Rattus norvegicus: one gene and its partner. The protein of the gene in region 1 purifies or fractionates together with the protein of each later gene. This does not show direct contact. Links are inferred from orthologs where the notes say so. Each region holds a gene or a part of one and is shown on either strand. Other genes may lie near its edges.

Region 1 (15,003 bases):
AGAGACAGCTGAAGGCCAGAGAAGCTGACTTGAAGTGGAAACAGTTTCTAATTCTCCTTGCAGCTGGCTGTTCTAGAACATTCCATGAACTGAAGACTTCCCCGAATCTACTTGAACTCCCCCTCCCCCCGACTCTTCACTCAGCAGTATAACCCTGAGGGAAGTCAGGATGAGCGTCTCTAAGGAAGGGAAGCTATGCTTTCCATGTAGAAATGACTGAAGAACTGTCCCCTTGCCTTGATGTGACCATCTGATCACATGTCAGTTTTCATGCTGAACCTTCTGAAGCTGTGTGAAGCATCCCCAAAATGCGGGAGGTCCTCTTGTTCCTTTCCTGCTCCCAATAACTGGACCAGGAGAGAGTGATGTCTGAAGTGCCTGGATCCTGCTGTCATGCCCCAGGTGACACTCTTGGGCTCTTGGCAGGGACTGACTGCTGGCCTTAATTGTCTTTATTTCTAACTCTGGTGGCAACCAACAGCTTTGCTTTGACAACTCCTCCAGCCAACACTGTTGTCCTGGCCCACACATCATTCCTATTTACCCTAAATAAGGAAAAACAAAAGCTATTCTCGGCAGAGTGCAGGGCCTGCGGCTGGGGTTATTTGCAGTGTGACCAGGGCACTTGGCCCTTCTCACTGTGGCTGCCAGGTGATTTTTTTCTTCTTCTTCTTCTTCTTCTTCTTAAAACTGTAACAGACGTGCAGCCATCCACAAAGCCTCTCCACACAGCCTCGAGACATCAGGATGCATAAGAAAGGTTTTAAGGACGTTTGAAAACCACTGTCTAGACCTCAAGAGAAAAGGGGCTTCTTGTACAAAAGGAAGAGCGCTCCTGAGATAGGTCTTGGCTTTCCTGTGTGAATGGCTCCTTTGTATCACTTGGGGTTATTTTTCTGTAATTTTAGAACTGCTTGAACTAAAACTGCATAGTAAAATCGAGAGTTCTGTTTTTATAGGCTTCTCTCTGTGCTGTGTTTGTGCTTCTAAGCCAGGAGAGCTTGCTAAGGGAGAATTTGAATCTGAGAATAGGAGCACTTCTCCTTGTGGTAAGGCATTGGGAGCTGTGGATGCTGGGAGAGCTGGTGTAAGCTGTCGGGACTTGGTGGGGAGGAGGATTCAGAACGATAGCCTGTAGTGGGGCCTCCAGAAGGTGCTGGCAGCTGGATACCCAAGGCTGATGTTTTTGCTTGCCCTGTTACCCTCAGTAAGCTCACATTTTAAGTCCTCAACTCTGAAAGCTTCCAGCAGAGAGGAAAGAAAAAGATACTATGTTGAGATTTTCAGACGCTTCTTTCTTCTGAAGAGTCTGTTTCACCATTTGCCTGTTATATATATATATATATATATATATATATATATATATATATATGGATTAGCGAATGTACTAGAATAAGGCGAATTGTCTAGCTGCATTCTGCTTGCCTGTGTATGTGACATGTTGGGATGTGACATGTCTGGATGTGACCTGTCTGGGTGTGAGGCCAAACCCAGAGAAATGCAGACTAATCACTGATATATGTTGTCGTCAACAACACTGAGTGCTCTTGGGATTGGAGGCGCTTGGGCTTACTGTCTGTGACATCGCCAGCTTCCTGCCACAGACCTCCTGATTTCTGTTGATGGCAGTTGATAATTGGTAGTCATAGTCTGTGGTTGGAGCCACAGACTTTGAGTCTAGCACCTGGGCTGGGCCCCTGCTGATAGAGTAGAAAAAGACTTAAGAACTCCCTCTACCACACACAGTTCTCTCTCTCTCTCTCTCTCTCTCTCTCTCTCTCTCTCTCTCTCTCTCCACACACACACACACACACACACACACACACACACACACACACACACACACCAGCTATAACTACAGCTCTCAGCTGCCTGGAGAAGAGATTGGCTGAAGCTGAAGAATGGTTTGAACTGGGTGGGCTGTGCCACAGTTGGAGTCCCTTGCAAAGGACTTGATTATGTCCATCGACCAGCCAAGCAACAGCTCACTGAAGGAGGTTCAATTTAAAGACCTGTTCTTTAAAAAAGGTACATTTGCAAAAGGGTAGCTGTGAGTGATGCAGGGTCTATGGGGGGCTCTCTCTCTCTCTCTCTTTCTGTGTGTGTGTGTGTGTGTGTGTGTGTGTGTGTGTGTGTGTGTGTGTGTGTGTTTTCCCTTGGAGTTTGGTCTGAGCAGAGCTAAGCAGAACAGTTAAGTCCTTCATAGGACTTTTTTCCCTCAAACCTGGCAATCGTGGTGTAGCCCATGAAACTGAGAGGTGGAGGCAGGAGGATCAGAAGGTTTTTCCTCAGCTACATAGTGAGTCGAGTGAGTTGGAGGCCAGCCTAGGATGCAGAAGACCCCACCTCAAGGAAAAAAAAAGTTTCTTTTGCCTCAGAGAAGTCTGTTGGCTCTGACAGGTGGGATCTTAAGGGTGCTTTTCCCATCTTCTTTGGTTTGCAATTACTTTGTTACTGTTGGGGGAGATGAGTGTGTGTGTGTGTGTGTGTGTGTGTGTGTGTGAGAATATATATATAATACATATTTCACCCCCCTTCATATGCCCTAAAAATTTTCCTCTTTGACTGATAGTGAGTTGCTGAAGATAACATTTGGAAGAAAAGAAAAAAAATGTATCTCTTTTAATGCGATTGGATTGTTGACTAGTTTTTTTTGGGGGGGTTATCCAGGTAATAAGAGATAATGGGAAACAGAAGTGGACCCCAAGAGCGATGGGGAGCTAGAGTGGAAGGCAAGCAGGCTGCCAGCCAGCACGGGCTTAGGAGCACACACTTGTAACCGTGGCTAAGACAGTTACATGTGCAGCCGTATATCTACTGACACCTTCTTAATTTATAATGTGGAGGTGAGGTGAGGGTGGATTTTAAATGACTCCTATAAGGGAGGAATATGATTTTAGGTACTTTTAGTTCCCATTTATAGTAAGGGCAGGGGATGGATTTTTTTTAAAAAGGTTTCTAACTCTTATATTTTTACTCCCCCGCTGCTTTGTTTTGTTTCTGTATTTAAAGAAAAAGTTGTCAGTCATCTTGGATTGCAACTTTTTTTTCCCCTGAAGAGATCAAGATAATCTAGGTTGTGATGTATGTAAAGAAAAGGAGCTGTGCTAGGTAGGAGCTCTGGCCTTTGATGCTACTTTGCACAGAGTCTGTGTTCTGGGGATTCCTTACTCAAATCCCTGCCTTCTGCTCCCAGCCTACCTGTGCCTTGGCAGGTGCCTGGTTGGGACTGAAGGTGGAGGGATGTGTCCTGTTATCCTGGATCACAGGATACCACTTCCAATCTTGTGATGCAAACTGCCTGTGTGCATACAGGGATATAATGGGGATATATAAGCTGATACCTTAGAGCAACCATGAGCCTTCTTCTCTGGTGACGATCTGTGCTGGGTTCTTGGTGCAAAATGTGAAAATCTCTGGCAAAATGTTAGCGTTATTAAAGTTGTTGGTGAGTGTTTGCCAGAATATGGTTCCATGAGAGATGCCGTACAAACAAATTAGCCAACAGAAGTTCCTGCTTTGGACCTGATCACCTTGTATGCAATATGCAACAATCTGTAAGCTACGGGGGACAAGATAGATAGCCCAGGGCATGGTGTATGAGAGAAGGTCAGAGGGCAAACCTTAAAAAGGAGTGTCAGTACAGAATGGGACCCGTGCATATAGGAAGCAGCGTAAAGGTCAGGAGCCTGTTATCAACGGGTCAGTGAAGAATTTATAATGAAAGATACAGCCAGCAGTTGCAAAAACTTGGCCACCTTTGTAGTTCTGTCTTTAATTTCTCCCTTTGGTTGTTTGCCATTAAAAGATAAATCGGAGTAACCGACTGACCACAAAGGAACATGAAATTTTAAAAATGTAATCTAATCATGAGCTAGAGGAGCCCTCATTGTTTTGCCACCTGAACTTCCAGCTGTAAAGTCATTTTTGTCACAGAGCCTGAATGTCGCCCCTCGACTGTGGTGTTTAATGAGTGTGAATTTTTGTTCAACCATTCAAATTGTCAAGAGTATTTTTATACTAATAGTTCCCAAGCTCAAGGCAATTATAGGCTAAATAGATTCCAATTCCTGCCCCATCCACCTTCCTGCCACCGTGCTGTAGGTTCTAGGATTTTGGAAAGAATTTAGACTATAGGAACATCCGCCATCTACAGGTGTCCTAGAACCATGCAAGTCATCCACCCCTGTGGCTGTCATCATATCAGTACACCTGTTTCTGCTGAGCAGGACAGACACAAGAAGAAATATAGACACAAGATCATTGCACAGAAACTGAACAAGACCAGTCCAATGGGAAAAGTTGTCCTCTGTGCCTCGAACCATGGCAGGGAGTTAGAAAGGCTTGCTGGGAAGGAGTTTGCTGCCAAGAGGGTGGGATTCTGTGGCAGGCCGGTTGTCTTGTTCCAGGCTCTGCGTCCCCAGATTGAGCAGGAAGGAAAGTAAACTAGAGGGGCTGCTGTTGGTAAGAATGGGAGTCGAATCACTCAGAGATCTGTGAGGAGTGGCTAGTCCTGGCAGTGACGTAAGTGTTTATCATGGCCGCTTTCCCACATGCTGCCAAGGCGTCTGTTTTGCTGGTGAAAGGAAGGGCTCACCACAGAGCCCACGCCGTGTTCTTCCATTATAGGATGTCTGTGAGGGAATATGTCACACACCTGGAACTTAAAACTAATTAAACATTTAGAGACCTTGGTTTCAGCAGATGAGGATGTATTTCACCAAAGAGAGGCTGAATGGAAGACGGTGCTAGCCATCCCACAAATAGAAGTGAGTGTTATATTAGGAACCCAAGGGTAGTACAAACACATCTCCCCAGAGTTCATTAAAAATAGTCCAGACATTCACGCCTCCAGTATGATTCAGTGCAGGGCCCCATTGGACCAAGGAACCGACTAGCATACTCCAAACAGACTGTTCCCGCAGTCCCCCCCCGTACAGCTTAGAATTTCTTGAAGTTGTCACCATACAGATACAGATGTCGTCATCACTGTCGTCATCGACACTGTTTTTACGATAATAAACCAAAGCACAGTAATCCCTTCCTGTAAGCTTTGAATTCATTACTGAATCTCTGGTGTTTGGGTGGCAATGAGTCACACACTGCACCTTGAACTACAGTCCCATAAAAGGAACAGGAGCTTGGGAAACTGGTTTAACCTCCAGTCCTTTACTTGTGTGGCCTTGCTTCTGTTGATACCCATAACTGTTGAGACTGAGGGAGACCTGACCAGGGGGCTGTGCTCAGAATCCATAGTGGGTTAAATGAAAAAAAAATGGCAACCTTAAAAGTATCCTATTACCTTTCAAAATGCTGCCACTCCTGTGGGCTTAAGAAGTATTCCCATCTCAATATTTCTTTCAAAATTTCATTCTCTTCTCAGCGTCCCTTTCCTAACTGACCCCTTGGAAGCAAAACCAAAAACATCTTCTGGAGGCATGCTTGCTGGGCTTCCTTACATCATACCCTTCTGATCCCCCACCACATAAAGAAAAGCTGTGCAGAATTGGGGCAGAGGCTCCTGTTTAAAGTAATGGCATGACTGCCGTGTAGGGGAGGGGGAGAGGGAGAGTGGAGCTTGGAGGGAGGGAAGGTGCAGAGGGCACCAGAGAAAGGGCTTTCTACAGAGCAGGACCCTGAGCTTTGCTCATCCCTGGGGACCACCCCCCCCCTTTAATGGTTTTCACTTTGGTTTCCCCTAGCACTGAGTATTTTTAATCTTCATATTTTCCCAGTTTTAGTTTTCTTGCAACTTAAATGGGAAAAGTGATCTGTCCTCATTGACTATTTTGCCCCAAGTTCAAAGAGTAGGTAGACTTTACAATATTTTAATTTGATGTTATCTCACGCTCGCATATGTATGATGGAGTTGTCTGTGTCAGCATGCTTGCACCACGACAGACATATGGAGGTCAGAAGACAACTTTGAGGGGTCATTTCTTTCTTCCGGGGACTAAGCTCAGGTAGCCGGGCTTTGGTTGAACCTTCTCTCCCACCCTAGCCTGTTCCTAGGGTGTTGTGGTATGGGTCCTAAACCTAGAGGCCCTGATGTAAACTGGGTGGGGCTCTAAGATCCAGACACATCCTTGCTGCCAGTCACGACTTGTTAAGATTCTGGCCTTAGGGACCGGGCACCCTGGATTTCGTTCTTGTCTGCTAGAAGAGCTGCCTTCCATGCCTGGCCTAAGTGGCTCAGATTCTCAATCAGTCTCCTATTGCCCCAGGGTGCCCCTGGGTATTACTGTTAGGGTGATTGCCTTAGCCCATGTCCCACTTCCATGGAACCTATTTATGCTTCGAAAGCCCTTGGGTAAACCTGTTATCCCATCCTACTGCATGTGTCTCAGTTCCCTGACACTTTGGTACCTGTGGACTCCTGATGTTGCTGGGAAGCTTTGGTGCCTTAGATGTCCCTGCCAGGGCTCTGAGCTCATGTTTGAAACCCCAGGGCAAGCTGTGTGCAGCTGCAGACAGCTCAGCAGGGGCAGGGCACTCCAGTGAGTTTATAGGGCAGCTTTCCAGGAGAGCTTGGGATGGAGGCTGACACACTGGTCTTCACGAAAAGGGAGAAGGTGGGACTCTTTCTTCCAAAGGACACATTGCTATGCACTGTCTGTGATGGAGATCTTGCTCACCCTGGCTTAGGTTTTGAAGTAATTGCATTATTAGGTCATTCCATTCGGTCGTTTCATTTGGAACACCCTGCGCTGTCTTGGGCCCAGGGTATAAAATGCAACATAAATAAAAATCTAAACATGGAAGAACAAAGTAAAAGTTTTTCAAGGGAAAGAAAAGTTTGGGGAATGTTAGCTGCAAAGAAAAAAACTGAGAGGATCATTGGTACCATTAAAAAAATATATATATGTGTGTGTGTGTGTATATGTATATATATGTGTGTGTGTATGTGTATATATGTGTATATATGTGTATATGTGTATATATGTATATATATGTATATATATGTATATATATATATATCATCTGTAGAGAAACTTCCAGAAGAATTTACAGAAATAAGAGACAAGGAGAAAGTGTTTGCAACACATGGAACAAAATCTTGTAGCCATGAAATATAAATATTTCTCATAAGTGCATCAGAAATTCATGAAAAAAAAACTACAAATAGACTAATGCAAATTAATTATAAGAAAGAGAAGCATAAATTACCCTTAAGTCCAGAAAAAGATCAGAAATTGCCGGCAATTGGGGGAGCCGCAATACCAAATCAAAATAAATAGACGTAAAGTAAGGTTTGCTTTTGATGCTTGATTCACACAGGGCCTTGCTGTAGTAGAGGAGGCTGGCCTTGACTCGGTCCGCCTTGCCCTCTCCCAGGCTGAGCAGGTTTGTACCCGGTTTGGTTATCTTGCCCGGCAACATGCACAGGTTTGCCTATTAAATGGGTGTGAGTGGCAAGGTGCTGGAGAGCTGGCTCATCCGTTAGGAACGTGTGCTCTTGCAGAGGACCAAAGGGCACCCAAGTCTTATAGCTCACAGCCACCTGTAGATCAGCTCCAGCGTATCCAGTGCCCTCTTCTGACTTCCGCAGGCTCCCAAACTCACAGGCACACAACCACATGGTCACATACACATAATTCTCTTAATTAAATATTGAAAAAAAGAAAAGGGCAAGTTTCCAGAGTCTAGGGTGTAGGCAACAAGCTTTTCATAAAGTGGTTCTCACACCACATTGTTAAATGGTCGTCCATTTTAAGGAACTGACAAGTTTGTGCCGGCACTCACATATACACATAGCATCCCTTTCCTTCTCCTTACCAACCCCCCCAATAATTTGGTCATAATTAAGAGGAGGCAGTATTTATTTAGTAGACATACTAACCAGACCAACTTCCCCACCAGGATGGCATGGAGTGGTTACAGTCAGGGAGGGCTGCCGAGCTTCGGCCGCATTAGACTTCTTTCTTCTATAATATTTAAGCCTTCAGTCTTTTGAAGGATTTTAAACACTTCTGTAATAAGATCATTTTCAGAGAGAATTCATCCACCCAGAGAGGCTTATGGAATTGCAAAAACACAACTTGGTTTTCTTTGCTGCGTTCTCACAGGCTTCCGTACTGAGGAAAATGTAGCGTAGAAAGAGCCGTCAAGTGAAGGGTTAACCAAGGGTCCTTGTGGCTGTCTCCTGGTTGTAATCCCTTTCTTTCTGCTCAGGGTCTGATAAGCAACTCCATCTTTTGACAAAAGGAAACACACTGGTAAACTTGAGGGCATGCTTTAATCTGAAGGGCAGTTTGTGACAACTCCGTTGTTTGAGAGAGAATTGCTTAAGATCCCACCTTCATTTCTAAGCTCACGTTGGCCTGAACAGACCGAACTTCCTGCCTTACATATTGTGTATGGAGGTGGCTGTCCTTGGGTTTTTGACTGGATGTGTGGCATGGATTCCCAGGACCCTACAGGTGCTCTCATTGTTCCCTCTGCACCCGCAGCCAGTAGAGGTCTGTCTTACCCGTTATGGCTGGCCTCAGGGAGTCATGACCCTTGGAGTTGTGGGCATGAACACCTTCTCTGGGCCTGAGTATGTTCCTGAGTCAGTCTTTGTTCTTCCTATTCCTGTTTACCTACCTGCCGGGCACCACCATGTGCTAGACGCTGAGAACGCAACGTAAGCCACAGCATTCTTGTAGTCATAGTATCATGAGAAACACTGACTGTATGTACACTCTGCTCAATATGGTGGCCGGAATGCTGAATCAGGGAGGGACTCTGGGCATGCATATACATGGCATATTAATGACCCATTCGTCACGTTAGTGTTGGAACTGGGAACCTTACCACTCAATCACTGAGCCTATAGGATGGGGATATGCTTTCTAAGTCACTTACAAAGGCATAGCGCCCCCCCCCCGAAACAGAGGCAGAAGCTGGCCTGTTTATATTTGTTTTCTCTCTAATGCACAGCTCCTGTGAGTGGCACTCTTGAGAAAGTTGGCTCAACCAGAGAAGACGAGTTCATTTTCTGGAGAGGTTATGTAGGTGTGGTAGTGGGGGCAGCCTCAGTTCAGAGTGGAGAGATGGTGGGTGTTGTCTGACAGGAAGGGAATTGAAGAAACAGTCTGAGCTGTCCTGAGGTTGGCCCAGTGTGAACGGGTGCCAATTCAACAGCTGCCTGTGGTGAGCTCACAGGGCTGACCTTGAACTCCACTATGTCAGTGAGGAAAGTTGCAGCCAAAACCCTGGCGGTCTGGTAGACCGGGCCAGCAAAACATTTCCTTAAAGCCTTAAGCTTGAAGATCAGGTCTTTGAACTTCACCAAGCTGAGCAGCAGAGATCTGTGGGACAGGGCACTCCCAGAACCTCCCTTTTGTCTAAAAAGTTACAATACCAGAGCCCTGCGTGTGATCCACAGTATCTGCAGGCAGAGTTCAAGCCCAGCCATGCACCACTTTTACAATTGCCTTTTCTTCTCCTCCAAAATGGAGCCATAGCTTCTGTCTTCCCTCGAGGGGTATCTAGGAGGGGTCATGACTGCCCGAAGTTACGGGAACCATAGTCAGGAAAATGGCCGCTGTTCACAATCCTCCTCCTCCTTCCTTGCAGCGGAACTGGAGTTCGCGCAGGTCCTCATCATTGTCGTGGTGGTGACGGTGATGGTGGTGGTCGTCGTCTGCCTACTGAACCACTACAAAGTCTCCACACGTTCCTTCATCAACCGCCCCAACCAGAGCCAGAGACAGGAGGACGGGCTGCAGCCGGTAAGTGTATGGGCCTGCGCCATCTGGAATGCCCCTGGGCTCCATTCTGGGGTTGCAAACCCAGACAGGGTATAGTAAAGGCTAGAGGGTGGGATAGTCCGCCTGTCGCTGGTCGGCTCACTGAGGTACTGAGGTAATGCTGCGGTGTTAGCGGTTTGGGTTGACGGTTAACCTGGAAAGGTGTGCTCATTGTGTGCACACATTGTGTGTGTGCACACAGCTCAGTGACCTCTCACGTACAGCCAGGGTCCAGCCAGGAAAGTGACTTAACGCCCTCCAACAGCTGGCTCAGGTCTTTCATGTGTGAAAGTCTCCGCTGCCTGATTATTGGCCATCAGCCCTAATTAGTTTTGCTAGGCGTGGCCTCCACACCCATGCTTTCTCTCCTGTGTCTGGTTTCATTCGGGCAGCACCACGTTGTATATAGAGATCTTTGCTTGGATCAGGTCCTGGAGTTGGTCCAGGGATAAGTAATGTCCTCATACATTAGCAGATATGGCTGCAACTCTCGGATGTGAACCAGCTGGAGGGGACAGTGGGATGCGTGCCTCCTTAGATGGAACAGGGTGAACCGGGCGGGTGGGGTGGCACAAGCCATCCCGTGAGGCGCCTCAGTCCGTGCTCTTTAGAACTTTCTATCTCTTGCCCTCAACTTCTTGCCTCTCCTCGTAAAACAATGTGATGTATGGCTAAGCCATAACCAAGCCTGGGAGGCCAGGGGCTGCTGGGACATCATGTTCTCCACCTATTTTGTAATCTGTTCATAAATCCTGGTGGCTTTTAGCAAGAGACTTGGAAATAGTGCACTTAGCTGAGTTTAGATTCTTAATGTCGGTGTAGGACACAGGAGCATCTAGTTTTCCTCTTCCACCCTTTTCTGGGTAGTGGGAGAGACATTCTTTGTAGAATGCCCTTTATGAGAGACCAGGGATTCCTGGTCACTTCCTAAGGGAGGTCTGACTTAGGAGAGGCTGTTGTGAGTATGGGGTATGACCATCGTAATGGGCAGTGTGGACCTGTGCCTGGGACAGCTCTAAATAGGGCAGCATCTTGCTTGCCCGGGGAGCCTAATGGCTTGGGGGTTCTTGGGGGCAGAGGTAAGCACAACAGAGAACAGGAAGGGTGTGTGTGTGTGTGTGTGTGTGTGTGTGTGTGTGTGTGTGTGTGTGTGTATGTGTGTGCGTGCATCTGTGTGTGTACGTGCGTGTGCCTGTGTGTGTGTGTGTGTGTGTGTGTGTGTGTGTGTGCTGTATTCACCTCACAGTCTGGGACAGTGGTGGCAGACAGAATTTGACCTAACAGTTCCACTTCCTGTGAGCTTCCTCATTTTCTCTTGCTGCCTTCCTCAGTCTCTTCTGGTCCCCAGTTTTGCTAACCAGTTCCTCTGGTCCTCCTTGACATCTTTATATACCACAATGAAACTCTGGGTATCCCCTGGTATCCACCTCGGCACTACGGATCACTGTCCTCTGGTACCCACACTTTCCATCCTGACACTACGGATTCTTGAGGCAGCTCAGATCTCTGAAGAGAGAACAAATCCAAAGTCCTGAGCTCAAAGAAAGAAGACGAGGAAACTCTCATTACAGCAGCCATTATAGGGCCACACAGGGTCTTTGCTTTAATATAACTGTTGTGGATACCAGCCACTCCTTGGCAGATGTGGTACAACTCTTACATCACCACCAAACAATAGGCCGATGCACTCAGGTATGTATGGATTACCAGAAATACTTCAGCCTGGGTGTTAGCTCTACTCCCTGAGTAAGACTTAGCAGTTTCTAGCTCTAAAATGTCCCATCTTCCCATCTTGCACTTTGTGCTCCAGGAGTCCCTAGACACTCAGGGTGTCTTGCCTTGAAGGCCCCTCCCTTGGTCTTCTTCTTGCACTTGCCTAGACTGAGGGTATCCACAGCCTCTGAGTGAATCTGTGTCTCCCTGGTGCAGCCCCAGCCCCATGCTCTCCTGCTGTCACTGCCTTTAAGCTTTGTGTCCTGGCCATATGTCCTGTGTTTACTAACCAAGAGGTATAGCAGGAAGACAACTTGACTGGGGCAAGAAACAAAGTTCTTGTGTGGTTTTACCTGATGGTCTACCCAGTGCTGCTCTCTGTGGGAGCATGGGGACCATGAGCCAGGAAGTGGTAGCACGCTGACTGGCAGGAATGTGGGAAGTTGACTTTGAGAGGTCCTTCTAGGATGTATACTGAGTAGGAACGAAGACGGTCAGTAATTGGTGGGTTTTATCTACCGAGGGGGCTCTGTGAGTGGAGGTAAGCTGTGTGCTGAGATCTGGGTTCTACTCCAAGGTGTAGCCAGGAGACAGGCATGCCTTTAGTCCCTGTGTTTATAAAGTGACCATGAGAAGAGTGTGGGCGTTCACTCCTGAGCTACCGTGAAACTTCAGTTTTCTCTGGTGACCCACAGCTGAGTCCCGTTCATCCCCAGGGCTTCTTTCCCTGTCAACCACACCTGTAGATATCACCCAGCTGAGGGCTAGGCTCTGAGGGAATGTCTCATAACATTCAAGGTGTGTTTCCACACTGTAACCAGGGTGCTTCTGTCTTAGACTGGGGTTCTGCTTTCTCAGTTGGACTATCAGCATGGCTCATGGTTCTAACAGGAGAGATAAAGTAGATAAAGAGGAAACAGACCTTCCTTTTCTCCTTACACACCTGAGTTTCTGTCCTTTCTACCCCACCCCTAACTCCTTCCTTGGATTGTTGCTTCTCTGCGGGGGCTGAAAAAACAGATCACTTCTTATCCATCTGACTCTCAGCTAGCGGACATCCTAGAGAGGCTGAGATGGTGTTCCAGCCGAGGACATCGTGCTACACACATTGTCTGATCTTCCTACAGTGTGCTTCAGGGGCTCTACAACGGGCAACCCAGAGAAACAGACTCTTGTGCTGAGTACCTGTCTAAGCACACTGTCGCCAAGCCCACCAGCTCATGAGCACACCATCTCCTGGCTGCTTTGGTGTGCCCACAAAGAGAAGGGCACACTTCTCTTGTATCACCCAGGACATAGCCATTGGGGGACTCTGCCTGCAGACACTTTCCCTAGCCATTTCCATCTACCTCTGCCCCCCTCATTCTTCCCTAGACCTCATCATAGCCAAGATAGCAAAGTGACCATGCAAGAGCAGCCAGCTGTCATCCTTGGCTAAGGTCCAGGCTCTTTTACCACCCTCTTGATCATACTGGGGATGCTTAAACCAATCCCATCCCCATGTTTATGAACTGCGCACGAGAACCCATTGTCTCCTCTACTCCCATGACTGGCCAGTCTGGACAGCTTCTAGTTGGCTTTTCCAGGTTGCCTCCTTTGGCCTCTCAATATGGAAGTCTGTGTTCACCGTCTTCCTGCCAAGAGCTAGCAAAAGCCTGGCAGTCACATCATAGAGAAGAAGATACTCTGCTTTTGGTCCCCTCACTTGACCAGGTTGCCCCTGGATGGGATGTTGACTTGAGGAACTTGGGACAGAGTGAGGATGGATGTGTATGTCCACTTGCCTCTGCCTTGTGCTACCATATCTGTTATCCAAACCCTGTTCCTAGATCCTGAAGCACCCTTGTTTAGTGAGCGCCCACAGCCCCAGGATCACCTCTCTTGGCAGTGTGAGCAGCAAGTACCTCAAACACCCTGCTACTTGGCAGCACGAAGGTGCAGAATGTTCCTGCCAACCTTTCAGTGGGGAACCTCTCATTGTTCTGAGACTGAGTGTCACAGAGACAGTGTTCCAGGTCTTTCGCCTCTGTATTGCAGACCCATGTGGGATCTTTACTGGGATTATGATGCTGTGTTCATCTTAAAAGGTTGAGAACGTGTGAGGAGCCTCTCTTCTCATGAGCGGGCATTCGCTTTGATCCAAAGGAAAAGCCAGGGTGAATTGCTGACCTTCTTAGATTGAACTGTAAGTTTTCCAGCCTAGTGTCAGTCGTCGGAGAGGAAATCCTAGACTAAGGAATTGTCTAGATCAGATTGGTCAGATTGGTCTGTGGGGGTTGTCTTGATTATTAACTGATGCAGGAGGACCCAAAGTGGGAGGACCCATGATGAGTGGTACCATTCCTAGGCAGATGGTCTGGGGATATATAAGAACGTTAACCGAGCATGAGTATGAGAGAACCAGCAATGGTATTCCACCATGCTTCAGGCTCCTAGCTGAGTCCCTGCCCTAACACTTCCCTCAGGGATGGATTGTGACTTGGAAGTATATGGTAAATAACTCCTTTTCTTCCCTGCATTGCTTTTGGTCAGAGTGGGTTTTTCTTTTCTTTAGCCACCCCCCCCCCCTTTTAACAGCAGCAGAAATCAAACTAGAAAATGCAGAGAACAGGATCTCAAAAACTTGACTGACCTTGATTCCTGGGGTCAGTCCTGTGAGACAATACTGGCAGTCCAGCTGTCCTTGGCCCATGAGTCCTATCTTTCTGGACAGCACAATCTTGAGGGAGTTCACAGAGATGAGACTTGCTGCTCCTACCTCCATAACTTTCCTTTCTCCCATTGCCAACAACCCTCGTCCCTTCATTCATTCTTTGAGACACTGTAGGTTTGAAGTATGAGGAGGGTTCCGTGTGCCTGAGGCCTGTCAACCTCCCTCTGAAATGTGTGTGACAGGGCTGCCTGGCAATGGGATTATACTGGCCAGTGAAAGTCACTGAACAAAAATGAAAACCGGTAGCTCAGGCTTAAACGAAAAGAAAGTCAAAGGTTCAAATGATGACCGCAGCAGGAGATAGATTTGTGACACAAATCTCATTTTTGTTTTTCTCAAAGCAACCTCAAAATGTTTACAAGTACCTTGTTTGTGTGGCCTGGGGCTGAGAGACCATCTAGATTGTTTCCCATTATCCTAAACTACCAAAGAATGAGGAAACAATAAAAGGCCCTCGGTCTTCCAGACAGGCTAGTGGTTCTCAACCTTCCTAACGCTGCGACACTTTAATGCAGCTTCCCATGTTGTGGTGACCCTTCTACACCAACAAAAAACTTATTTCACTGCTACTTCATAGATGTAATTTTGCTACTGTTATAAATCATAATATGAATATCTGATATGTGATCCCCAAAGGAGTCATGACCTTTGTTGTTGAGAACTGTGGGTCTAGGCTTTCCCAGCTGGCGAGGTCTGAGATGTCCTTTCTGACAGCTGCACCCCCCGCCAGGTGGGTCCTGCTAACCACATCCGGACAGCCCAGGGTTTGTGGTCAGTAGGCATGCAGAGGTGGCTGGCCTCAGAGCAGGGGCGAGAGTTTTACTCAGATTGAGTCTTGTGAGA
Region 2 (15,483 bases), on another chromosome or scaffold:
CTGTGAGCCTGGACTGCACGATGACTTCCAGGTTAACCAGGGCTAGAGAGAGACCCTGGCTTTTAAAAAGAGTTGGGCAGGGTTGGGGATTTAGCTCAGTGGTAGAGCGCTTGCCTAGCAATTGCAAGGCCCTGGGTTCGATCCCCAGCTCCGAAAAATAGAAAAAAGGGGAAAAAAAAAAAAGAGTTGGGCAGTGGCAGCACACGCCTTTAATCCCAGTACTCACTCGGGAGGCAGAGGCAGGTGGATCTGTAAGTTCAAGGCCAGCCTGGTCTACAAAGTGAGTTCCAGGACAGCCAGGGCTACATAATGGGATCCTCCTGCCTTAGAAGAACAAGATGGGGGCTGGAGAGATGGCTCAGTGGTTAAGAGCCCTGACTACTCTTCCAGAGGTCCTGAGTTCAAATCCCAGCAACCACATTGTGGCTCACAACCCTCCGTAATGAGATCTGACACCCTCTTATGGTGTCTGAAGACAGCTGCAGTGTACTTGTATAGAATAAGTAAATAATAAATATTTTTTAAAAAAATAACAAAATGAAACAAAACAAAAACACCCCCCCCAAAAAAGGCTGCAATTTCAATTCAAAACTGGGGAAGCAGGGGCTGCAGGATCACTAAGAATTTTAGGCCAGATATGCAATGAGTTCCACACTAGCTGAGGCTAGAGTAAGATCACGTCTTTAATAATAATGATAATAAAAGCTGACTGGAGAGCCATTAAGAACACTGGCTGCTATTTCTGGGACTTGAGAGCTCAATTCCCAGCACCACGTGGCATCTCATGATAGTTGATAGCTCCAGTTCCTGGGGAGGTCATACTCTTCTGGCTTCCAAAGGTGTAACTGGGCTCCAGACCTTAAGGCAACTATATCCATGGTGGAAGTGCCGCTCAGGCCACAGAACTCGGCACGCGCAGCACCACCCGCCAAGAAGTAAACACAGACCGATCCGCCCAAGCCCATAATTCCAGGAAAGCCTCGAAATCACTGACCTTGCCTTCTGGCTTCTGCAGTTCTGCTTCTGGCTAACAGTTCTTGCTAACTAAAGTATTGACATGTTTTTTTGTGCTTGAAACCTCACCCTGAGAAAGGCTCAGGGCTACACTGGGATCCTGAACACCTAGTGTAGTCACAGGCTAGCTAAAAAAAACTTTCTGTTGGCTTAAACCCATGTCGAAGATTCTCCACAGTTTTGGAGATCCCACCGAGGTTCCCAGAGACCTGACCTTAAGACACTGTGGGTTTTAGACTCTAGGAGTGGGTACGATTATGGTAGTCTAGGAACTCCTAGGGAATGCACAACCTGAATTCCAGATCCCCAAGTCTTCTGATCAATCCCTGTCTAATACTTCATAGGAGTCTGACACTGCAACCCTGAAAGGGAGCAAATTAGAACGCCACCTGGTCTGTCACCTCCAGAGGTGAGTCTGGTTAAGGCGCTTTCCGTTCGGACACATAGGAGGGGTCAGGAGTGGCCACTTAACTAGTGTCCAGGAACCATGTGTGATGTCACTGGATTCCCATTCTGTTCAGTGGGTTTTTAGCATATAGATATGACATGTGTTTGTTTCCCTGTATTAACCAATGGCTTTTTCTGAAGAGAACCCTCTGGCTTAAGACCTGTGCCTCTCCTGTTGGGGACCCAAATCCTCTTGGCTCTGCCAGGTCACCCAAGTGACCAAAAAAATCAAAAACCAAAAAACCCCACAATGACAACAAAAAAACAAAAACAAAAACAAAACAACAACAAAAAAAAAACAAACCCAAAACTAAACAACAAAAAACCCCAAGAAAACAAAACAAAGCCACAAAACTATTCACCAACAAAAAACAAACAAGACAAAACCAAACCAAACCAAACTTGTTGTTTTGTTGCTTGACTTCTGCTCACCAGTGTGGGTCACGCGCGCACACACACACACACACACACACACACAGGAGGGATGCATCCCAGGAAGGGAAGGGAAGGGGAAATAGTTCCTCCCCCAGGTGAGCATTCTCTCCCTTTCCCCCATCCCATGCCTGCTCTAAGCAGCCCCTGGGAAGGGGAAAAGTTCCCCTGGGCTGATCCTGAAGGAAAAGAGAAAGTCCTGCTCCTTTCTCTTTCATTCGTCTGCTTTTAAACTACTGATTTGGGAACCCGCCATTCTCTGAAGAAAGTAGGAAAACTACCCTGGTCTTGGCAGGGGGGTCGATGCCGGACAAGGAGTTTCCCTTCTGGGTAATACTAACCATGGAGACTTACAAAACTTTTTTTTGCTAGGTCCATTTTAGAAGGATTAAAGATTAAAAAGATTGGGGCTGGAGAGATGGCTCAGTGGTTAAGAGCACTGACTGTTCTTCCAGAGGTCCTGAGTTCAATTCCCAGCAACCACATGGTGGCTCACAACCATCTGTAATGGGATCTGATGCTCTCTTCTGGTGTGTCTGAAGGCAGCGACAGTGTACTCATATAATAAATAAATCTTAAAAAAAAAGATTTCCTTTGTCACCCAGTCAGCTCTTGTTATTAAAGAAATTATAGAAGTTAGAAAAATTTTAAAGTATAAGCAGGTTCCAGTTGCTGGAGTGTATTAGGATTTTCCAGACTTATGGAATGAATCAATCTCTCTCTCTCTCTCTCTCCCTCTCTCTCTCTCTCTCTCTCTCTCTCTCTCTCTCTCTCTCTCTCAAGCTCTGATGCCAGTGAGGGAACAGCGAAGGAATGGATGTGCTAGCAAGGCAAGCCCTCCTGCTACTGTCCTTACATAGGCTGCCAGCAGAAGGTGTGGCCCAGACTGAAGGTGTATCTTTTGGCCTCAAGACCTGATTAAAGGCCTGTGTCCTGCTTCAAGATCCTGATCACAGATGTGCGCCTCCATTTCTGGACTGTAGTTCCTTCCAGACATAGTCAAGTTGGCAACCAGGAATAGCCATTGCATGGAGGTAGTGTCATGTGTGTAACAGAGAACTGAATGGACAGGACCTTTTGCATCAACTGAAAGCCACCTCACCTTCTCTGATGGTGAGACATAGAGTTACAGATACCCGGCAAAGTCTTGGTGTCTCACCCTTTGTCAGATAATATCTATCTCCTAGCTGAGAGCTTTACCTCCAATCAAAAGATACAGTGGGACTATCTCTCCTACTGAAAACAAAGATTCATAGGGGTAGGGACAGAAACCAACCCCCTAGGACTGGCCCAACACCAGGTTCCTATAATTAACTGTTCGACTAACCAGTTCAGCTACCCCTAAGCAAATTAAACAATAGCCAGTGGTTCTGGAAACAAAAAGGGAAATTGCAGTCTCTCCTGGCTTGGAGACAGGCATCCTGGTGCTCTGTTAGTCATCCTGGAACATACCTCCTCTGCTTATGAAGAAACCTGGGACCTCTGATTCTCATGAGTCTGATTCTTCCAGAGGAAAAGGTATACATTCTCTTGGATCTGAACCACACATTCTTCAGCCTCCCATTGGTGAGGTGAGTCAACTCATCTTTGCTTTTAAATGGACGGATTCAGAGAGAGGTTACAGTAGCTAACTTACATGGACTAGGTTGCTCCAAAGATTTAAAAATTCCCTGTTTGATGAGGCAATAAATGCTGACATCCTGCCTTTCTGTCAGAGGTTTCTCAGGAAAACAGGTTATAAAAGGGCCACTGAGGGACTGTACAGACCTTGGGCTATAAAATGTCAGCTAAGAAAGCCACACTTTGTATATCAGAGGCTACCTATCTTAGCTACCAGCTGAGGAGAGGCAAAGGAGTCTGTCTCAGAGTAGGATTTCGGCCATCCTTCCTTCAGATCCCATTAGAGACAGACTGGAGAGTTCAGCTAAGTATTGCTGTCTCTGAATACAAGCTTGTGGAAATAGCAAGGACTCTACACCAGCACAAATGTAGGCACTGAGCCCCTGATATGGACTGAGACTAAGCCAGAGTATTTGCAGTTTAAAAACAGCTCCGACTTCAGCCTTAGCACTTCCGGGTGTCTCAAAACCTTGTCATCTGTCATCTGTTTGTCCAGGAAATGAAAGACAAGAAGGATTTTAACCCAAACTTTGGGGTTGTGGGAACCCTGTGACAAACCTGTTGAACAACTGGACCCTGTAGCTGTGGCAGCTACTGCTACTGCTAGTTACAAACAAGTTAACTCTGGGTCAGGATCTTTATAACCCCCAGGTCCCATGTGACTGAGACCCTCCTCTGAGGAACACCAGAATGCTGGCTGTCTAAAGCCTGTGTGGGCCCTACTCCTGGCCTACCCTCAAGTGAGAATCCAAGGCCATCAATTCGACTACCCTCTTGCCTGATAATGAAGGTAATTGTCCGTGACTGTCACAAGATGAAAGATGAACCAGGTATAAGAGAGCTGTACTTGAACTGACATGATTTTGGCCCAAGCCAAGGACTTCAGCCGAGAGAACAGAACTGATTGCTCTGACCCAGGCTCTCACATGGTGTAAAGAAAGTTTGCTATCATATACATGGACCGTCACAATGCTTTTACTGCTGGGCATTCCACAGTATGATCTATAGCGAAAGAGGATCTTCTCACTGCTGGATGAAAAAGGACATTGGAAAATCTTGGCCCTCCTAGAGATTTTTTGGCTTTCCCTATGAATTGCTGGCCTCCACTGCCAGCTGTTGGCCATCCAACAAATGGTCCTAAGACCAGTGGGGCCTATTGCCTCCATAATAAAGAAGAAATGGATGGCTCAAACCTATAGGCAGGTGGAGGACACCAAAGGGAAAGATCATTCTTCCAGAAACAACTGGCAGGACTCTGGTAATTGACCTTCACAAGGCTACTCATCTGGAGTAGCCTGACAAAACTTTCTGTGTTGCTCAGACAGCCTGGCACAAGATGTCTCAGCCAGATGCCAGACTTGTGCTCAATTAATCCAAAACAGAGATCCCTTATTCAGAAAGGGTTCTGAATGAGACGTCAACACCCCGGCAAACTCTGGGAGAATTGACTTCACTGAGATCGAGCTACCAGGGGAGGATACAAGTCCTTTTCAGATGGATAGACGCATTCCTCACCCAGAATGAAATTGCTCAAATAGCAGGTAAAAACCCCTCCAGGAACTGGCCCCTTGATTTAGCCTCCCCTAGCAATGGGGTCTGACAATGGTCTGGCTTTCAGAGCCCAAAACCTTTCAACTAATAATCAGAAATAGATAGAGAACTTCATTGTGCACATAGACATGGTCAAGGTCCGACCCCCACTGCCTTCGTGCCTGCTTCTGGGAACTGAAAAAGGCAGATACAGGAGAGGTGATGTCTAAAGTGGCTACAGGCCAGCAAGCCATATTCCGTTTTGTTCACTTCCTGATGCCCATTTTAAAAGTCTGGTTGAACTGGAGAGAGAAAAGATATGGGAATTTATCTTTTGAGATAGGAATATAGAGTTTACAATTCCATGCAAGCCCTGTGGCCTGGCCCTCTGGTTGCCTGGAACAAGGGAGTTTCCATTGCAAAAATTAGAGTTGTGAAACTTAGACTTCCTGAAAAATCCCTTAAGGAAGATTCTGGCCTTTGGAAAACAGAGGAAACCAGGGCAATCAATACCACAGGAAGGGATCCTAGGATAGAGTTCATCATCCCCAGCCAGAAATCAGACTGTCAGCCCATTGACTGATAAAAGTGTGACTTGGATATACTTCTCAGGAGATAAAGGAAACTATGTATGGCTTTGGGGGACACCTGTCATTTTTATGCTAATTGATCAAGAGTAATTAGGAAAAAGTCTTGTCATGGTAGAGGAAAACTTCAAAAAGAAAAACAGACAATGACATAAATCAAATAATACCAGTCTTGGGCTGCAGAGATGGCTCGGAGGTTAAGAGCACTGACTGCTCTTCCAGAGGTTCTGAGTTCAATTCCCAGTAACCACATGGTGGCTCACAATCATCTGTAATGAGATCTGATGCCCTCTTCTGGTGTGCATGAAGACAGCTACAGTGTACTCATAAAATAAACAAATCTTTTTTTTTCTTTTTTAAACAAATCTTAAAAAAAAAAAAAAGTCTGTTTTCTTGGTCCCCTGGCTAACTACTCTGCTGTCAGCACTGGATGGACCTCTAATTCTCATTCTGATTGGCTGAATGATAGGCCAGTTATCTATCAGTGTATCCCGTTCAGTAAAATTAATGGTCCTTAGGACCAACTATGCTTTTTATGTTTTGAAACACCTTTTCTATGTAGCTCTGGCTGTCCTGGAACTTGCTCTGTAGACCAGGCTGGCCTTCAACTCACAAAGATAACTGGCTTCTGCTTTCTGAGTGCTGGGAGTAAAGGTGCACTTCACTTCCTGGCCCACTTCTCCCTCTTTAGTCCATAATTTGACTCACTCGCTAAGAGCTGACTCCATGGTGGGAGTCCACTCAGGCCATAAAACTCAGCACACAGACAGCATCAGCTGCCAAAGTGAAAACAAAGACCTAATCCACCCAAGTCCATGTGTCTGGGAGTCTCTAAATGTGCTAACCTTGCCTTTTGGCTTCTGTAGTTCTGCTTCTGACTCTTTCTGCTAACTGGAGTATGTCAACCCAGAACATGAGTTTTGCATTTAAAACCTTGGCCTGTGAAAGGCTCGATACTACACAGGGCTCCTGAACACCTAGTGTCGTCACAGAGTGGCTAATAAAGACTTCCTTTTGGTAGATACGCCTCAGCAAAGGCTCCTGACACTCAGCTGGTACACAGTATACATGCCAGCGAAACATCTATAGAATAAAATGTAATAAAAATTTAATATGGGGGTTGGGGATTTAGCTCAGTGGTAGAGCGCTTGCCTAGCAAGCGCAAGGCCCTGGGTTCGGTCCCCAGCTCCGAAAAAAAAAAAAAAAGAAAAGAAAAGAAAAAAAAATTTAATATTTCAGTTAACAAAACCAAACCCAACAAAAAGCCAGGTGGTATGGCACCTATCTGTAAGCTGAACAATCAACTGGGAGGTGAATGCCAGCCTAGGTTACAAACTCTGCCTCCACTGGTCTCCTCTCTCACCCCCGCCTCCCGCCCCAATGGTATAAGCTGGTAATCCTAACTACTCAGAGGTTGAGGTAATGGAATTAAAAGTTCGAGGTTAGTTGGAGCACTTGAAACAAGACCGTTCCAAAGAAAAACCAGAAAGTTAGCAAAATGGCTGGGAACACAGGTCAGTTTTAACGCCCTTGACTAGTTCTGTGCAGACAGTTAGATTCGACTGTCAATCTTGCAAAACCCAGAAAGTTTCTGCTGTCCAGGCTGTGGTGAGGTACGCCTACAATGCCAGGAATTAGGAGGCCAAGGACAGCATTGGGTTCCAGGTCAGCCAGGGTTACATAGACTCCCTGTTTGCTAATTCATAAGGTTCAGTTTACTGCATATACGGAGATAATGGGAGTTGATTCCCCATGGGGGCACTTATGGACTCGAGAAAAGTTTTGAAGGGATGTCATGTCGTCTGTGTCCTGTCCCGTGCCCCACTCCCATCCCCCTTCCCAGTTTTGTTTTTTGGAACAATAGCAGATAACTTACAAAGGCCAGGGTATTTATACTTCCAGAACTGAGAACAAGGCCTTGCACATAGTTGGCACCGGCTGTCAAAATTACACGAGATGCTTAAGGTTTTGACCAGCGTACATCTATGGTGTCAATACATTCTTTGCAAATTTGGGGACATGCTTATAGTGACACGGTTTATCTGACATTCAAATGTAAGGAGCGTACTGGTTTTTATCCAGCAACCCCTACAAGATTTGCCGACTTAACTGACCGGATGATCTTCTCCCACCTGTACTATGGGGAAAAAACAATTCTACCTGCTTCCAAAGGAATAAATAAAGCCCCTGGTACCGGTGAACCCTCATTTTATACGCCCGCTCCAGCATAGCCCTGGTGGTCCTTTCACTCCGGCCCTCACCGGGTCAAATGCTCACAGCCCGGCTCTAGGTGGTCCGCACCTGCGCGCCCCGGCCAGCCTCTTCCGGGTCAGGTGACCGCGCGCGCCCACGTGACCCGGTCTGAGTGCGGGCGCTGGAAGGCGGAAGTGGAGCGGAGTTAGGCGCCGCTGGTGTGGCCGCGGCAGGTAGGTTGCGCGGGCACTGGGGGCTCGGCAGCGAGCGGGTGGCGCGGGACAGCCAGGGGCGGCGGGCGGCGCGAGGGGCCGGGGGCGGCGCGGGGCGGGCGCCGGGGGGCGGCGGCTTCCTGTGGGAGGGGCCTGGCGCGCGGTTCCGGCCTCCGAGGAGGGGTGTCCCGACTCGCGCCCGGGCGGGGTGGGCGCGGGGCCCGGCGGGAGTCGCCCGTTGCTGGCGTTTCCGGAAGGGGACCCCAGCCTGGGCGCCTGCGGTGTGGAGGAGCCGCGTCTGTGAAGGGGGGCCGACTTCGGCCGGGGAGACTCGCATGCTCCCCGGAAGGGGCTGCCTGGGAGTGGGCGTCTGGCTAGTAGAGACTGGAAGAAAAATCTGGACGTTGCGGCCTGGACCCCATTCTGAGAGTCTCTTCCTTCCGTCCTCTTTGAAGATGATGGCGACCCGAGACTTTGATACCGGTCCTGTTTAGTTTTTAAACTTCAGGAGGGATCCCTGAGTCTTGGTAGTCTGACTCTGGTCACACCCACTTTGCCCTGTTTGGGTAGGGTTTCCACTTGTTGGGAGCTTAGCCCTTCCTATCATCTTTCTTTGAGATGCTCCCAGATCGGGTCATCTTCGAGGCAAAAATAAAAAAAAAAAAATTAAAGACGTGTAGGTGCTTTGCTGTGATCATAACAAGACTTTTAACCTACACTGTTGTCAGCAGCGACATGGACCAGCGTTACCGCAGCAATGCATTGACTGCTGAAGTCTTGGACCGTTGAAAGTCTTCCCATATCGCTTTGATACGTTTCCTCTAAAGCTTAAATTATGCAGCTTCCTTTACTGTGTGACTGCTTATCTTGACCAGCTGTGACTAGGTGGGGTGACTGAGAAGTTTCTGTTGTGTTCCTTAGAACTGTGACCTAGATCTTAGTTTTTGAGGCTAAAATACCCATCTTAAGATTCTTAGTCCTCTAGGCTGAGTCCTGAAGATGGCCTCAAGTTCCAGGCCAGCCTGGGCTAACCAGTAAGACCTGAATAAACAAACATCCTCTTTCCCCTTCACATTTGCTAAGGTTTGCAGAAGTGAAATGAAGTTTATGAGTGCAACGAAGGTGTCAGGGTTCAAATGGTACAGTGACAAGAACCAGAATCAAAGGTCGCTGGGGGGAAAAACATTAATACATTAGGGGTTGAAGACTTGGGGATATATTACAAGCATTTAAAAGTTAATTTTTGTAGCAGTCTCGAGAAGTCATTCCCACTTCATAGATAACAAACTGAGAGAGTTGACTTAAAATAAAAGATGTAATTTTGGGGCTGGGAATTTAGCTCAGTGGTAGAGCGCTTACCTAGGAAGCGCAAGGCCCTGGGTTCGGTCCCCAGCTCCGAAAAAAAGAACCAAAAAAAAAAAAAAATGTAATTTTGTTTGTGTGTGTGTGTTCCTGTGTGTATGAGCTCACTGAGGCCAGATGAGAGCGTTGGGTCCCTTGGAGCTAGGGATATAGGTGGTTGTGAGCCTCTGGGTTTGCATGCTGGGAACTGAACTTTGGTCCTGTGGAAGAGCTATAGGTGCTCTTACCTGTATCTCGTTAGTCCCAACCTGACACTTCATTTTGTTTTTCTTCCTTGTTTATTGTCTTCTTCCTGCTAGGACTGTAAATCATTCAAGGGCTGTGATCCAATATTACATGACTTCTTTGGCTACTAGCTCTGTGTTAGGAGTACTTGGTCAGTGTTTGAGAAATAAATGAGGTTTTAAAGGTCACACTGCTTGCTGTATGTAGTGAACAAAGGGTTTGAACATAAGTTTTCTGTCACTTTCTCTGTTCAGTGTTATTGGTCTATGGGAAAACCATGAGGAAAAGGCTTCAATTGGCTTGTCTGTCTCTTTTACTTTTTTTTTTTTTTTTTTTTTTTTTTTTTTTGGTTTTTGTTGAACATTGTACCTTACCACTGAGCTCCATAGCCCTTCTTTTTTGTAATTTTTATTTTTTCCTTTTGAGACAGGATCTCAGTAAGTTGTCTGGTGTGATTTCAAATTCCCGTAGCTCAGGCAAGCCTTGATCTTGTGATCCTTTTGCCTTCGTCTCCACAGTAGTTGGGATTTGAGGCCTGTACCACTCAGGCCATATTAGTCTTTCACTTAATGACTATGTCTCCATCTGCAAAGAACTGATACCAGATTCTCATTTAATTTAATTTAATTTTATTTTTTTGGTTATTTATTTGAGACAAAGTTTTACTGTGTAGACCTGGCTGGCCTAGAACTCATGAAGATCCACCTGCTTCTGCCTCCCAAGTGCTGAAATTAAAACTGTACTATTAACTGTGCTCAACCAACCTCCCCTCCCCTTCCCCTCCCTCTCTCCCTCCCTTCCTTCCTTCCTTCCTTTCTCTTTTTTTTTTTCCCCTTTTCTTTTTTTCGGAGCTGGGGACCGAACCCAGGGTCTTGCACTTGCTAGGCAAGCGCTCTACCACTGAACTAAATCCCCAACCCCCCCTTTCTCTCTTTTGAGACAGGGTCAAACTGTGATTTTTTTGGCTTTTTGATAGAAGGTAAGTTATAGCTCAGGCTGGCCTCAAACTGGTTATGTTGCCGAGGAACTTAGGATAGATTCTCTTGTCTCTCCCTTTCAAGAGTTAGGGTCCAGGCCTTCACTCACCATTGCGCCTGGCCCAGTGTCTCATTCAATGCCAGCTCTATGAAGGTTGCATTGCTTCATTCGAGGATGAAGAAACTGAGGCTTGCTGAAGCCCTGATGTTGGATTCTAGAACTAGTGAACAAATGCAAGAGTTGGTTCTCTCCTACTATATGGATCCTGGGAATCGAGTTCCAGTTGTCAGGTGGTAGCAGATACCTTTACCTGATGAGCCACCTTTTCTACCACCTAGGTTTTTTATTTCTAGACATAGTATTTTTAGTTCATAGAAGCGATAAAAATTTCATCTTAAAATAGTTTTCAAATATAAAAAGTATGCTATTAGATTGGGTATAAGTGGCAAATATACCTGTAATCTGAGCACTTGGGAGGTAGAGGCAGGAGGATTGCTAGAAGTTCAAATGTTCAGGTATAATGTGGGTTACGAGAAGAAAAGGAAAGAAAAGACATGTAGATAAAACAGAAAAGGACTGGAGAGATGTCTCAGTGGTTAAGAGCACTGGCTGCTCTTCCAGAGGTCCTGAGTTCAAATCCCAGCAACCACATGGTGGCTCACAACCATCTGTAATGGGATCCGATGCTCTCTTCTGGTGTGTCTGAACACAGCTAGAGTATATTCACATACATGAAATAAATAAATCTTAAAAAAAAAAAAACAGAAAAGGGTCAGAGAAAAGATTGTAAATGTATAATGTAACCTATACTGCTGAGAAAACCCTGCCTGCTCTATACTTGTGTACAGCCTCAGTGCATTGCAGAGTGATTTATAAACTGTAGAAGTTTGTCTTGAGAGTGGAGGCTGGGAAGTCTGAGATGGAGGGTATGATGGTTTATATGTGCTTGACCCAGGGAATGGCACTATTAGGAGGTGGGGCCTTAGTAAGGTAGGCGTGTCAGTGTGGGCATGGGCTTTAAGACCCTCACCCTAGCTGCCCTGAAGTGAGTTTCACTAGCAGCCTTCAGATGAAGATGTAAACCTCTCAGCTCTGCGTGCACCATGCTGTCTGGATGCTGCCATGCTTCCACCTTGATGATACCGGACTGAATCTCTAAACCTGTAAGCCAGCCCCAATTAAATGTCTTTTTTTTTTTTAAAGAAATCGATTCTATGTATATAAGTACACTGTCGCTGTCTTCAGACACTCCAGAAGAGGGCATTGGATTCCATTACAGATGGCTGTGAGCCACCATGTGGTTGCTGGGATTTGAACTCAGGATCTCTGGAAGAGCAGCCAGTGCTCTTAACAGCTGAGCCATCTCTCCAGCGCCCCCAATTAAATGTCCTTTATAAGACTTGTCATGGTGTCTGTTCACAGCAGTAAACCCCTAATTAAGACAGAGGGTCTACTATTTTTTTTTTTTTTTGGTTCTTTTTTTCAGAGCTGGGGACCGAACCCAGGGCCTTGCGCTTCCTAGGCAAGCGCTCTACCACTGAGCTAAATCCCCAACCCCGAGGGTCTACTTTTGGAGGGCCTTCTTGCTAAGTCATTCCATCGTAGAATGCAAGAGAACAAGCATATGCATAGGACTAGGGCCCTGTCATGTGTTCTGTGAGCACCAGGCCTCTCGTGACCTAATCTCGTAAGGGTTCCTCCTCCCAACCCTGTTGCACTAGGGTAAAGTTTCCACAACATACACTTTGGGGACCTATTCAAACCATAGCTTCTGTCAGAGTTGTCTTTTCCTGGAAAATAGTCTTCCTCCGTAGATAGTTGTACACCCTTACTTTATTACAGGCATTGTTCTGGAGTCTTACTGTTCAGTATGGAGGCCACTGATCACATAGGCTGTCAAACCTTGGTACAGTCATGAATGTCAGATACATCAGAATTTGTAGAGTCAACATGAAAACTTCAATGTTGTGTTGATTTTTGTTTGCTTGGCTTTTTGTTTTTCCCATGGCAGGGTTTCTCTGTGTAGCTCTGGCTGCCCTGGAACTTACTCTTTAGATTGGGCAGGCCTCAAACTCACAGAGATCTTCCTGCTTTTGCCTCTGGAGTGCTGGGATTAAAGGCATGTGCCACTACTGCTGACTCCATCTGATGTTTTTATATTCTAGTAAAATCATATAAATGTAATCTATAAATATATGCTATGAATGGTAATGTTTTATATTTACTATGTTAAAGACAATATAATGAGTTTCAGCAAGGTGTATGTAGTGACACATACCTATAATCTTAGCACTGCTTTTTGGGGAGTTATGGGGGCAGGTCTCACACTTCGTCAGTGCTCAGACTTTCTGGAATTTATATTGTAGCTCAGGCTAGCTTTAAATTGATATTCCTTCTGCCTTAGCCTCCTGGGTGCCAGGATTACGGGTGTGCTGGCTCTTGTCTGAAGATCCCAAAGGGGAGAAGGCATAGAGCACAGGACTGAGTGTGGGTAGAGCAGTCCAGGCGAAGGGCTAAGCAAGATCAAATGGCTGGAAGGAGAAACACCTTGACAGGTTTGGGGACCAGCCAGGAACACAGTGTGGCTAGAGAAGGCCAAGTGAGTGTTGAGAATGAGTTCATAAGGGTTTGGGGTGTGAGAGGGAACATTGGGCAGGTCAGGGAAAGCCTTGTAGGCCTTTGTGTGAATGCTGGTTTTCACAGGATGAGTGAAGCATTTGAGCTGAGGAGTGGATACTGTCCTGCCTTTCAACAGGGATTGTTATGAGGAGGAGAAAGAGGAGCCAGGGTAGAGGCAAAAAGATGTATGAGGAGGGCGTTGTCACACAGGAAAACGCACTGGGACATACTCTGAAGCTCAGCCAGGAGGATCTGCGAATGAGGACTTGGGTATAGAATGTGAGAGGGAGAGAGCAGGCAAAGGTGACTCAAGGTTTGGATATGAACAGGGAGAAAATGGAGTTGTCGTTAAATGAGGGAAAAGAGCTGGAGATGTGGCCCAGTTGGTAGGGTATTTGTGTAGTGCGCATAAAGCCTGGGGTCTGATCCCCAGCACGGCATAAGTAGGCTGTGGTGGCACACATCTGTAATGCCAGCACTCAGGAGGCAGAGACTGGAGGAGGATTAGAGTTCAGTCAGGGTTATCATCCTGTGGAATCCAGCCTGGGTTACATAAGACCCTGTCTCAGTAAACAAAAGCATAGGGAGAGACTGGGGGGGAGCCAGGGCTTAGGTTCAGTTTTGTTCACATTGATTGTACAAGGCCTATTATGAACCAGGAGAAGATGCTGGGGCAGTTAGATGAGGAAGTCTGGTGGCGAACAGGAGCAGGAGATGTGTACATGGCAGCTGTTATTGTGTAGCCTGGAGTTGAGACTGGACTAGGTCACCCAGAGAGGAGTGTAAATATATGTCCAAGAAGAATGTTGCTGTTGAGCTTGAACTTGTAGAGTAAGTCTCCGTCAACACTGGGCCGTGTGTAAAGACCACCTAAGTACTGCAGGGAAGTTGGGTCTCTCTTTCATATAAAGATGACACCCCCCCCCCCCCCCCCCCGCCGCCAACACACATACACACTTTTTTCCTCCAAGACAGGGTCTCTCTCTCTTTGTATAACCCTGGCCATCCAGCTGGCTTTGAACTCAGAGATTCACCTGCCTCTGCTTCTAAAGTTCTGGTATTAACATTGTGTGCCACCCTCTCCTGGCTAAGACAAGGTCTTATTATGTAGCCCTGACTGTCCTAGAACTCACTATGTAGGCAAGGGTGACTTTGAACTCAAGGGATCTTCCTGCCTCTGCCTCACAAGTGCTAGTGTTAAAGAAAGGCCCTTCTGAAAACAAGCTGAGGGTTCTTTTGCTCTAGTTGAGAAGGCTGTTTTCCAATGGCTGTCTTGGAGTACGTCTGAAATCAGCCCAAGTGCCAGCTTCTGGGATTTCTGACTTTCTGGGTTGGCAATCAGTTTACGAGCCTCCAAGGATAGAAAGAGAATGGCAGGCAGGGCAGTAAATAGGTTTTTAAAGTTTAAAATACCAGCTTTACCAAGCCTGCTATCTTATAGATTTAACACAAATGGAACCTTGTAGTGGGTGGGTGTGGCGGTTTGAATAGGTTTGGCCCTCATAGTCTTAGGTGTTTGAATGTTTGGCCCCTGGGGAGTAGCACTATGTGGAGGTATGACCTTGTTACAGGAGGTTCGCCACTGTGGAGGTGGGGCTTTGAGGCCTTAAATGCTCAACCTATGCCCAATGTGAAACATAGCCAATCTCCTCCTGTCTGCCTATGGATCAAGATGTAGAAACTCTGGGCTCCTCCAGCACCATGTCTGCCTGAATGCTGCCATGTTTCCCGTCATGGTGATAATGAACTAAACCTCTGAAACTGTAAGCCAGCCCAGTTAAATGTTGCCATGGTCATGGTGTCTCTTCACAGCAATGGAACCCCTAACTAAGACAATGGGTGACCCTTAGATTCCAGTCTTGGTCTTGGGATCTGAAGTTTTCATTAGGAAGATAGTGGATTCATGAACATCAAGTCAGATTATGATCAGATTATGTCACACATGTGGAGGTCACAGGACAACTTTCAGGAGTTGCTCTTTGTTTCTATCATGTGGGATGGAATGCAGATCGTCACTGTTGCCAACAAACACCTTTTTGTTGGAGCCATCTCATCAGCCTGGCCCAGGTGAGCTTTTGACCTTCATAACTTAAGAGCTGACATCTTGTTCTCAGGGACGATTTTGTTCCTTCGATTCCAATTAGAATCTGTTTAGAAGGTTGTGAGATTCCTGTTCTCTTCACTCCCTTGGTTTAGAAACAGTGATTGGAGTGGTAATCCCTAGGCAATGCAGGACTCTTGACTCGGGGCGGGTCTCTTCCTTT

Evidence for each region.
Region 2: the proteins of Ldlrad4 (region 1) and Wwp2 purify together in Homo sapiens (affinity purification with mass spectrometry; 3 studies listed by BioGRID and IntAct, counting the BioPlex papers as one, with this or other methods). This does not show direct contact. The link is inferred for Rattus norvegicus from reciprocal best matches to the Homo sapiens genes LDLRAD4 and WWP2.

What each region holds. Positions count from the first base shown.
Region 1 is NC_086036.1:64,077,523-64,092,525, forward strand, and holds part of Ldlrad4 (low-density lipoprotein receptor class A domain-containing protein 4), read left to right. Parts: intron 1-1,492; exon of another isoform or gene 1,493-1,958; coding exon of another isoform or gene 1,959-2,028; intron 2,029-9,561; coding exon 9,562-9,716; intron 9,717-15,003. UniProt on the Homo sapiens protein: Functions as a negative regulator of TGF-beta signaling and thereby probably plays a role in cell proliferation, differentiation, apoptosis, motility, extracellular matrix production and immunosuppression.
Region 2 is NC_086037.1:52,248,572-52,264,054, forward strand, and holds the start of Wwp2 (NEDD4-like E3 ubiquitin-protein ligase WWP2), read left to right. Parts: upstream 1-7,991; 5' UTR 7,992-8,056; intron 8,057-15,483. UniProt on the Homo sapiens protein: E3 ubiquitin-protein ligase which accepts ubiquitin from an E2 ubiquitin-conjugating enzyme in the form of a thioester and then directly transfers the ubiquitin to targeted substrates.